Xenopus tropicalis: one gene and its partners. The protein of the gene in region 1 purifies or fractionates together with the protein of each later gene. This does not show direct contact. Links are inferred from orthologs where the notes say so. Each region holds a gene or a part of one and is shown in the gene's direction. Other genes may lie near its edges.

Region 1 (3,600 bases):
GCACACACCACCTTGCATGTCTGCCAATGCAGCGCTCCGCCCTCCCCCTCATCCTATTGGTACAGATCAGCGGCTCTCATTGGCTCCCCGTTTCATCACCAACCAATTACCAAATTCCGTCTAATACACAGGAATCCAATAACAAGCGTGTGTGTCCGTCTTCAGCACCAAGCTTGCAACATGGGGAAGCACCTTCCCCCCCACGGCAGTGAATGGTATAGCCCTCACACAGTCTTTGGAACGTGGGGGACGTTCCACTGGGGAAAGCCCGGGGGACGTCACAGTGCCTTATTACTTTCCTTATGCAATAAATGCTCCAGCACTTAACCTAAACTTCCCCCCACGGCAATGAATGGTATAGCCCTCACACAGTCTTTAGAACGTAGGGGACGTTCCACTGGGAAAAGCCCGGGGGACTTCACATTGCCTTATGACTTTCCTTACGCAATAAATGTTCCAGCACTTGAGTTAAGCTGCCCATCTGCACATTATTTCATAAATAAAAATCACAGTAGTTACTTCCCATCCAAGCCAGCGACATTCCACTACTCCTCCGGCTACATTGCCCATGTTACAGGGTAGGGCAGATAGTAGCAGGCAGACAAAAGTAAATATTATAATACTTTAATACCGATCAATGACAGCACACTTGCGCGCTGAGGGATTGGGTGTACCAAGATGGCGTAGCGGAATTAGCCCGCTTGTTTGGGTGTACCAACATGACTGAGAGTAAAACATTGCTTGTCAGGTATTTCTGAGCCCAGTGCGACTATCCAGCCTCTCTGCGCCTGAGCATGAACGCATTACATGGCCACAACCATAACTACGTTGGGCGAACAGGGTAGAATCCAACTTAGCAACCGGTGAAATCATGCCCTAGCCGGGCGAGCCGCGTCGTCAAGGCGACAGCTTCTAAACACGCCCCTTATCGCCCAGCCCCTCGGCCGTTGGTAGTTGGCTGCCGAAGGTTCCGGAAGGCCTTCCCGGTGCATTGTGGGAACTGCAGCACCCGGCTTCTGTGAATCTATACCCGGCGCCGCTCAGCAAGATGATGGTGAGTGTGCAATCCGCTTCCATCCTCCGCCATCCGGCCCGGGGCTCTAACGCACCCTGCGGCCCTTGTGTCTCCGAGGGGTTCTGCGTCTCTACCGCAATCATGTGCCGCTGTTTCACACAAAGCCGCAGCGCCTGTCTCTTGGCCTCATTAGCCGCTCCTCTCAGGGCCATTACAGGCTGCCCCGACCCTTCATTTAGCCTGTAGGGCCCTGGGCAAGTGGGCAGTGCTTACTATACCCTGTAGTGCCCCTTAGGCAGCCCCCCCCCCGGCACAGGCAGCCCCCCAGTCACCCCTTAGGCAGCCCCCAGTCACCCCTTAGGCAGCCCCCCAGTCACCCCTTAGGCAGCCCCACCCTGGCACAGGCAGCCCCCCAGTCACCCCTTAGGCAGCCCCCAGTCACCCCTTAGGCAGCCCCCAGTCACCCCTTAGGCAGCCCCACCCTGGCACAGGCAGCCCCCCAGTCACCCCTTAGGCAGCCCCCAGTCACCCCTTAGGCAGCCCCCAGTCACCCCTTAGGCAGCCCCACCCTGGCACAGGCAGCCCCCCAGTCACCCCTTAGGCCAGTGTTTTTCAACCTTTTTTGGGCAAAGGCACACTTGTTTCATGAAAAAAATCACAAGGCACACCACCATTAGAAAATGTTAAAAAATTTAACTCTGTGCCCAGCAGCAGTGCCCCCCTAGTACATTGGTGCCCAGCAGCAGTGCCCCCTAGTACATTGGTGCCCAGCAGCAGTGCCCCCCTAGTACATTGGTGCCAAGAGCAGTGCCCCCCTAGTACATTGGTGCCCAGCAGCAGTGCCCCCCTAGTACATTGGTGCCAAGAGCAGTGCCCCCCTAGTACATTGGTGCCCAGCAGCAGTGCCCCCCTAGTACATTGGTGCCAAGAGCAGTGCCCCCTAGTACATTGGTGCCAAGAGCAGTGCCCCCTAGTACATTGGTGCCCAGCAGCAGTGCCCCCCTAGTACATTGGTGCCCAGCAGCAGTGCCCCCCTAGTACATTGGTGCCAAGAGCAGTGCCCCCCTAGTACATTGGTGCCCAGCAGCAGTGCCCCCTAGTACATTGGTGCCCAGCAGCAGTGCCCCCCTAGTACATTGGTGCCCAGCAGCAGTGCCCCCCTAGTACATTGGTGCCCAGCAGCAGTGCCCCCCTAGTACATTGGTGCCCTGCCTACGGCACTCCAGGCAACATCTCGCGGCACACTAGTGTGCCGCGGAACAGTGGTTGAAAAACGCTGCCTTAGGCAGCCCCACCCTGGCACAGGCAGCCCCCCAGTCACCCCTTAGGCAGCCCCCCAGTCACCCCTTAGGCAGCCCCCCAGTCACCCCTTAGGCAGCCCCCCAGTCACCCCTTAGGCAACCCCCCAGTCACCCCTTAGGCAGCCCCACCCTGGCACAGGCAGCCCCCCAGTCACCCCTTAGGCAGCCCCCCCGCCACAGGCAGCCCCCCAGTCACCCCTTAGGCAGCCCCCCCGGCACAGGCAGCCCCCCAGTCACCCCTTAGGCAGCCCCCCAGTCACCCCTTAGGCAGCCCCCCAGTCACCCCTTAGGCAGCCCCCCCAGTCACCCCTTAGGCAGTCCCACCCTGGCACCCCTTAGGCAGTCCCACCCTGGCACAGGCAGCCCCCCAGTCCCCCCTTAGGCAGCCCCACCCTGGCACAGGCAGCCCCCCAGTCCCACCCTGGCACAGGCAGCCCCCCAGTCCCACCCTGGCACAGGCAGCCCCCCAGTCCCACCCTGGCACAGGCAGCCCCCCAGTCCCACCCTGGCACAGGCAGCCCCCCAGTCACCACTAAAGATTATTAGACTATAAGCAGTGCCAATAGCCCCATGGTACACTGCAGCCTGTCAGACACAGGGCACAGAGTGCCAGTCACCTAGAGCCGGTCAGACCGTGGGCACTGCCATTGCTACTGTGCATTGAAAACACTTCTATGTGTTGTTCATCCCTTGGGCAGTGCCAGTGTCTCAGTGATCCCTGTCAGACCTTGGCCAGTACTGGGGACCAGTATAGGTTGGCAGATCCTGGACATTAGCAGTGCCCCAGTACATCCCGGGTGCTACAGTACCACTGGGCGGCCCATAGCTGGTACCAGAGTCTGTTTTTCCTGCTGGGATTTTCAAGACCAACTCTTGATCTCTGGGAACCTTAACGTAACTTTCTCTTGTGAGGGGAAAGGCACATTTGTCAGGCAGGTTGCAGTTGGTCATAATCACTTGCCCATTGGGGAGACATCCCTGTCCCCATGAGCCATGAAGGCTGTTAGGGAAACCTCTGTGGGGCAGTTTAGAATGGGTTTCAGGAGGGAACCAGATCCGGCCCGGGGAGGGGGCCAAATCCGGCCCGGGGAGGGGGCCAGATCCGGCCCGGGGAGGGGGCCAGATCCGGCCCGGGGAGGGGGCCAGATCCGGCCCGGGGAGGGGGCCAGATCCGGCCCGGGGAGGGGGCCAGATCCGGCCCGGGGAGGGGGCCAGATCCGGCCCGGGGAGGGGGCCAGATCCGGCCCGGGGAGGGGGCCAGATCCGGCCCGGGGAGGGGGCCAG
Region 2 (3,829 bases), on another chromosome or scaffold:
ACATATACAGTAAAACAGCCATTGAACTTCAATATTGTCTACCTCCTACAGTGCCCTTGTGGAAAGCAATATGTTGGGAGAACCACAAGAAAGCTAAAGACGAGATTGGGGGAACATATACGGAATATAAAAAAGGGGTATATGAAACATCATTTATCTCAACACTTTGCCAAGGTACACAATAAAGACCCCAGTGGCCTTAAGTTTATGGGGATGAGCCATATGAAACCCAAATGGAGAGGAGGAGACTTAAAAAAGAGTCTCTCCCTGGAAGAAACTAAATGGATATATCAGCTGGGGACACTGGTGCCTCAGGGGTTAAATATTGATTTTCACCTGACATGCTTCTTATGAGTATTTTCCTTTTTTATATTAACACTTGTAACTGTGGCTCTAACTATTTATATGGGTTTAGGAATTCTGTATTTAATGTTTTATCTATTTATGTATATTTTTTTAAATTGGGCTTGATTCAGGAATCCTATATATAAGTCTTGATTTTTAATTTTATACTGAATTGATTACAATTCTTAATAGTGCATTCTGATTTTTGCATATCTGGAGTGGATGTTGGGGAGTGGATGTTGGGGAGTGCTGTGACTGGAGAAACTAGCTGAGAGCATTAGGACCCCGCAGGCACCGGGAGGAGAATCACATGGGAGGAAGGGAAGCAAGCTCTGAATCGGTATAGGGAAGGAGACTGCTACTGCCCGTAAACGTGGGATTTTTCTAAACTCAACGTAAGTTGCTTAATAGCATGCCGGTGTGTTTAGATGAAGTCTGTTACGCTATGAACTCTGATTATTTTGTTGGAGGGAGTGCAAGCGGAGGCGCAGGATTTACTTATACACCGCTGCATTTATACTGTGTGGTCTCTGGAAGTGAAAACCAACAGCCTGTTAATTCCACTCACACCTTAATGACGAGAGACCGTGTGAGAACTTTAAACATCAAATAAGCAACTTGTATTTATGTATAAAGTACTGGAAGGGTTTGAAATGGACTCAAAAGGGGTATTAACCCAAATCCCTTTTTCACAATAAGGGGTCTGAGTTTACTAATATATGGGCACTTTTATTAACCTCCTTGCCAAGTCTTAACATTTTGAGGTTCAGTTAAGAACAGATTCTGACACACACGGTTTCCTCCCCCTGACAGCTGCACTAATGTTACACACACACACACACACACGGCTCTGTCAGGCAGTGGCGGCTCCATATCGAGCTACTTCCTTATAAGGCCAGGCACTGGGGCAGGAAGCACTAGCAGAGGCTCACGGGTACTTCCCCCAGCCGGCTAGCAGCGTGTGTCTGTGAGAGGCTTGTAAGAGACAGGGAGCTGCGGGGTTTTATAGTGACAGTAATGTTATAGTAACCTTTTTCTCAACGTATCTCTTATTATTCTTGTTTTGTGCAGAATCGCTTACACTGCGTGTGCCCAGGGAGCGGCGAGATGCAGGTGAGAGGGATACGTCTCTTTACTCAGCAGTGTGTATGTAGGGTAGCGCCGGGGCTTGCTACTTGCACCCGAGGGGGGCAGGGGGCACAATAAATTATATAGTCTACCCGGGCGAAAAAAATGCGTTTGTGGATGTTGAGTGGTTGCCTGCTCCACAGTATAATAGGCTCTGTCCCTTTCTGGCTACACCTCCCGGCTATTATACATATGGGCTTTGTCTTTCTAAATTGAAATTACTGCTGCAACTTAAAATTAGCACATAGGCAAGTCATTTGCAGAGCAATAGAGGAGCAGAGTCTGACAAACAAAAAGAGATGTTGCCTTTACATAACAGAAGTTATGGATCTTAAGGTAGCCATACATAGCAATTTTGTTCTTTCCCACCCTCCACTGATGTTCAGGGCTGAATCATCAGATATGGAGGTAGAAACAATGGAAATTCTACCTCTTTCAGCCGATTCAGCCCTGAATGTAGATTTTGCTTAAATGGCGCCCGATCAAAATCTTTTAACCTGGCCGATCGACAAGTCGACTGATATCTGCAGCCTTTTGTGATATCGGTCATCTCATTGAGCCACCATACACGCACCAAATATCATTCGAAACGAGGTTTTGTACAATATCATCGATGCGTGTATGGCCAACTTTAGTGTGATTCTGTTCTAGACATACCAACAGTGGTGCTAGCAAATGTCCCCCTCAGTGTAGTTCCGTCAAGACCATGCAGTCTGCCCAGCTACATAATACAGGTATGGGACCTGTTATCCAGAATGCTCAGCGTCTGGGGTTTTCCAGATAAGGACTCTTTTCGTAATATGAATCTGCATACTTCAGGTCTACTAACAAATCATTTAACATTGCATAAACCCAGTAGGATTTTTTTTGCCACCAATTAATAATGATAAATTATATTTAAGTTGGGATCAAGTACAATACAGTGAAAAGGAAATATGTTTTAAAATGTTGAATTATTTTATGGAGTCTATAGGAGATGCCCTTTCTGAAATTCGTAGCTTTCTGGATAGAGGGTTTCCAGATAACAGACCCCTTACCTGTACTGTATTTGGTTTTAATGTTACTGGGTACAGTCTCCCAGAGCTCTCCTCATTTAAAGAAGAAAAATATTTTATTAGTATTGAAGAAGCAGTTAACAATTGCGCTTATTCTTTGATCTGTCATCTGTGGTATCATTAGTGGTTATGAATGTCCTTACCTTTTCCAGTCTTTGTTTTCAAGTTCTGCCACAAAAGAAAGTGCACTCCTTGGATTAGTATCCACTGTGTGGATTGTAACATAACTGGAAGGTAGTGCACACTGATTGGAGCTAAAAACCTTTATGTGTATACTGTTTTTAACATTTAAAATAAAGTTTAAAGGACAATGAAAGCTTAATATAAATTAAAAGTAAATCTAAAGGCATTCTTTTTAAGTATTTACTGCATATCTAAATTCCCAGATCCCTGCTTGCTTCTCTGAGATATAGTGCTGGCAGCCTACAGCAGTGTGAAGCCTACAGTGACATCACTGAAATCTCTCTGCCCTTCTTGTAGGCTGCCAACGGCAGCCTTCCTATTCTCTGAGCATGTGTGTAACTTGATCCTGTCTCCTGTTCTGAGCTACACATGCCCACCAGCCAATCAGAAGCGGATCTGGCAGAGGGGGGGGGGGGAGGGAATGAAACACATGTGCAGTATGAAGCAAGGAGGGAAGGGAAGGGAGAATACCTTTTTAGAGATGGCTGCCTGTTCTAGAAAATGTAAGTAAGTGTGACTGAGTAAATATTGGATTAGGTGAGCCAAAAGTGTGGCGTTTTTACTAAACAATAGGAGGACTATTGGGCAGTATGCTTTTTAACTTTTGACTTGCATTCTCCTTTAAGGGGAAAAAAGTGTTCTTTCTAGATCATTTAATGTTTTAAGACTCTTGTTTGGGTTATTGTTGCATTTTTTAAATTGACACATGCTTGTTTTAGGATCCAAACGCAGACACAGAGTGGAATGATATTCTGCGTAGAAAAGGTATCCTTCCTCCAAAGGAAAAGCCACAGGATGAAGAGGAGGAAGAAGCAGAAATTCTCCAGCAACAATCTGTTGGTGAGTTATAAGGGTACTAACAGAGAAACTCAAGTTTTCATTATGGTTTTTGGTGTTAAATGGGTTTATGTAATAAAAGACACTAACCTGCAATAGAATAGAGGCAAGCACACCCACATTTCAATGAGGAATTACATCCCTTGTATTTTCTGAGTAATGTTGTGATGGTAGATTCTTTTAATGCCTTTTAAGAGTGGTTTAGATGATTTCTTGAACAAGGATAATATCCAAGGCTATTGTGATACTAAAATATACAATTAGTATTGATGTTGGTATAT
Region 3 (3,729 bases), on another chromosome or scaffold:
ATTTGGCTGTTAATCTGAACATAGCACCTATTATTATGTGTTGCTTATTATTTGGCCATTTGTAATTTATGGACGTTAATTATTTTCCACACTGTTTGAATCTGAATCCTAAATGGAATACTTTTTTTGTGTTATTGAATTTCAGATTATAGTTAGAAAATGGCAAGTATGATAGATTTTATATGCTTATAGAAGTACTTTACATTAGGAACATAATGTGCTGTAAGGCTGATCTGATTAAATCTGTTGAACTGCCTCTTTAAAGGAACCCCTGTTAAAACCCAGTAACCCAATATTATCAACACTTGAAAAAGGGATGTTCAAACTGCTTTTCTCCTATTCGGCACTTGCTAATTAGCAGTTGTTCCCATTCTGCACTAAATGGATAGATGATTTTTTAAAATATATTGCTTACGAAACTGCACAAGATACTAGAATAGTAGTCAGAGTGAAATACATTCTCCATGTAGACAGTATGCAAGTTTTGTATTTGTACCTTTAGGTTTGAGGTATTAGAATGGTAATACATGCCCCATTTATCCTTTTGAGTTCAGCTTCATTGGTTTTCAGGCTCACAATAGAGTAATATTGCAGAAAGTTTTAAAGAAAACACTTTTTTTCCTGGCAGGTTATTGTTCAAAACTACAATTCTATTTTGACGCTCTCTCATCTCTACCGGTCTTCAGATGCCCTGCTAGTTCATGAAAATGATATTATTCATAAAGTTTGCTCTCAGCTGATGAATATAAAGCAGATTTCTTTCAGGGATGTCAACAAAGTAATTGCACATCAGCTGGGCAGTATATTTCAGCCAGTGTATACATCAGAAGAAGCCTTGCACTACTGCAGAAATCCACTTGGTATGTCTTTAATTTATTACTACAGTCTAACAAGTAAATGTAATTTGCTGTTTGATAGAGCATAGTATGAAATATAGAACACAACTTTAACCTTTAACACGCCATGTCATTCTTGCCTCCATGTGTTTATTTCTTTACACTTTTACCTTTATCTGCATCTCTAACATTCCTCCTGCTCTGTTCCCACAATTGACTTTTACTTAGGGGCACATTTACTAAAATGTGTTTTTTTCTGGCCTCGAAACATGATATGGTATAATTTCGAAGTAACCACGATAATTTCTGTAGTTCTAAAATGTCTCGACAATGCTTTTATTGTTCGTACAAAAATATCGCAGTTGCGTTCCAAATGTCACAAAATTTTTGTGCCAAAAAGTTTGTTAACGCCTTCCATAGGACACAATGGCACTCGACAGATCAAACCTGGTGAAAAGATAGTCCAGATGAAAGTGTGACCAAAGCGTTAACGAATTCCGAAATGTTTATATTCTTTGCGCAAAGTATGATTTTTTGTGGAAATTTACCACAATTTTAATGAAATTTTTGCGTACATTACATGTTCTATAATTTAGAAAAAATACAAATATATCTCCAAATCGTTTAGTAAATGGGACCCTTAGGGGGAGATTTACTAATCCACGAATCTGAATCCCAAAAGGGAAAAATTTGGATTGGAAGCAAAAATGTTGCCGTCTTTTCATCGCTGTCACGACTTGTTTGTATTTGTCGCGACTTTTTCGTATTAAGCGGTTGTAAACGGCGGAAAAACCAATCCGATTTTTTCACGACGGCAATGAAAAAGTCACAGAAAATATACAAAAAAGTTGCGACGGCAATGAAAAAGCCGCGGAACATACGTAAAAGTCGCAACGGCAACGAAAAAGTCGCAAAAATACAGATCATTACAAAAAAAACTCATTCTAACGCCTTCGGACCGTTCGTGGATTAGTAAATGTGCCCCTGTGTGTACTCACCTACATTCTACATGATAATTTACATGCATTTTTTATTTTTCCACCCCACTGCTTTCTGTGCTACGTGCAGAATCTTTCTCAGCAACTTTATTTTTACTCCATTGTTCCACACATCTTCTCATCAATCCTTTAAATCTTTCACACAGCTTTTGTGGTCTGTGCACATTAATTTACTACCTAATTCATCCTTTATCAGATATGTCCATTGGGCATATCCATGCATGGAAAACAGTGTTCTTTTTAGTGTAACCACACAAATTTAAAAGGCCACATTAAAATAAAAATAAAAAAAAAATATATATATATATATAAACTTTTTCAGGGTGCTTGCTAATACAATATTTTTCCTTTTCTTCCCAGGGGAATTAATGGAGTGTTTGGTTCCACACCCAGAATACAAGATGCTGGGTCTCCGTAACATTCCTCAAATGTCTGAACACTCCTTGGCATACAGTACATTTAATTGGAATGGGCTGCTCAAACATTTGAGGCAAATGCTCATTGCAAATGCTAAAATGGAAGAAGGTAAGGACACTCATGAAATAGTACTTAAAATAAATACAAATAGCTAGGCAGTTAAAACATAAGCTGTCTTGTTCACTGCTAGAGTTTATTTCTCTTGGACATTCCCATGGTGATTTTGGACAGTTTTATGGAATAAAAGCTCCTTTCACTTATGTTGTTTAAATGATTTTACTGATAGAAATTGTGGTTATAGCTTCCACAGTAAGAGCATCACAAAACTTAATTCTGTTGGCTCCCATGTTAGCACACAAACCTGTCTTAGTGTATTCAGCTTAGATCACCTAGACATATACTAAAATTTTTGCAAAGAGAATTTATTTTCTGCTCACATACATCATTCTGTGTAAAAGTTTTGTCAGTATAAATCCAGAAAGACAAAAGTCCCTGAAGTCATTGATATTTCCATGAACAGCCCTCTGCCATGTTTCCTTTAAAGTGATACTGACACCAAAAAATTTATTTTAAAAGTATGAACCTACTTCCAAACCTACCTATAGGTCATGTTGACTTTTTTTCTAAAAGTCCTGTTTCTCTACATAAATCTTACTGAAGATCCTGAACCCGACTGTCTGGCAACCCGACTGTAGCTTCTCAATCTGTCAAAAGGACTGCGTCATAAACTGGGAGGATTCAGCTTGCCATTTGCTTCAAAGAGCTCCCCCTCCCTCGCATAGCATTGCATGGAGTTGTGAACTAGATAGCAGGCAGGCTTCATCTTTCCATTGCCTGCCTACTTCAAAGGGCTGTGCCCCCTCTCTGCTCTTCCCACGAAGAATTAAATAACAGGCCTGCTTAAGCTCTCCAGTGCCTGTCTGCTTCTAAGGGCTCTCTCTTCCCCCTCCCCTCCCCATTACACATAGACTACGGAGCTGAGCTTGTCACACCGGCAGAAAGCAGAAGGGGCATGCAGCTTTGTGATTGGGCATATTTATTCATTTGGGAGGCATTTCAATGAAAATCTGGAAAAGGGGAACAAACATGGCTGCTCCGTGGGTCTGTAATTTGTGCTACCATAATTATGAAGTGGAAAAACTTTGCAGATTTAGTTTATAAGGAATTTAAAGCTGATACAAATTAAAACACAACAGCAGGTGTAAAAATAATTTAATTGGCTGTCAGTATCACTTTAATTCCACTGCTAGATATCAGGAATTTTTAGAACAAGTGTGCCAATTAATAAATGCCCTATAAAATATTCCTACAAAAACACACAACAACTAATTACTTTGGAACCAGCACACCCTAAATAATGGGTTTCTTTACTCTTTAGACATTGTACAATTGTCCAGTGTTTCAGCCAATATTAGACCTTTAGGACCTTTCTCAAGGATGGAGAGAAAAGTCCCAATGAGGACCAAAATGTTGGACAT

The links.
Region 2: the proteins of cct7 (region 1) and pdcl3 purify together in Homo sapiens (co-immunoprecipitation; 4 studies listed by BioGRID and IntAct, counting the BioPlex papers as one, with this or other methods). This does not show direct contact. The link is inferred for Xenopus tropicalis from reciprocal best matches to the Homo sapiens genes CCT7 and PDCL3.
Region 3: the proteins of cct7 (region 1) and tubd1 purify together in Homo sapiens (co-immunoprecipitation; 3 studies listed by BioGRID and IntAct, counting the BioPlex papers as one, with this or other methods). This does not show direct contact. The link is inferred for Xenopus tropicalis from reciprocal best matches to the Homo sapiens genes CCT7 and TUBD1.

What each region holds. Positions count from the first base shown.
Region 1 is NC_030677.2:16,900,520-16,904,119, reverse strand, and holds the start of cct7 (T-complex protein 1 subunit eta), read left to right. Parts: upstream 1-1,010; 5' UTR 1,011-1,048; coding exon 1,049-1,054; intron 1,055-3,600. Other genes in the region: pradc1 (protease-associated domain-containing protein 1), read right to left, coding at 1-18. UniProt on the Homo sapiens protein: Component of the chaperonin-containing T-complex (TRiC), a molecular chaperone complex that assists the folding of actin, tubulin and other proteins upon ATP hydrolysis.
Region 2 is NC_030678.2:110,232,986-110,236,814, forward strand, and holds the start of pdcl3 (phosducin-like protein 3), read left to right. Parts: upstream 1-1,276; 5' UTR 1,277-1,323; intron 1,324-1,416; coding exon of another isoform or gene 1,417-1,452; coding exon 1,453-1,458; intron 1,459-3,430; coding exon 3,431-3,551; intron 3,552-3,829. UniProt on the Homo sapiens protein: Acts as a chaperone for the angiogenic VEGF receptor KDR/VEGFR2, increasing its abundance by inhibiting its ubiquitination and degradation.
Region 3 is NC_030678.2:91,504,982-91,508,710, reverse strand, and holds part of tubd1 (tubulin delta chain), read left to right. Parts: intron 1-628; coding exon 629-860; intron 861-2,194; coding exon 2,195-2,359; intron 2,360-3,729. UniProt on the Homo sapiens protein: Acts as a positive regulator of hedgehog signaling and regulates ciliary function.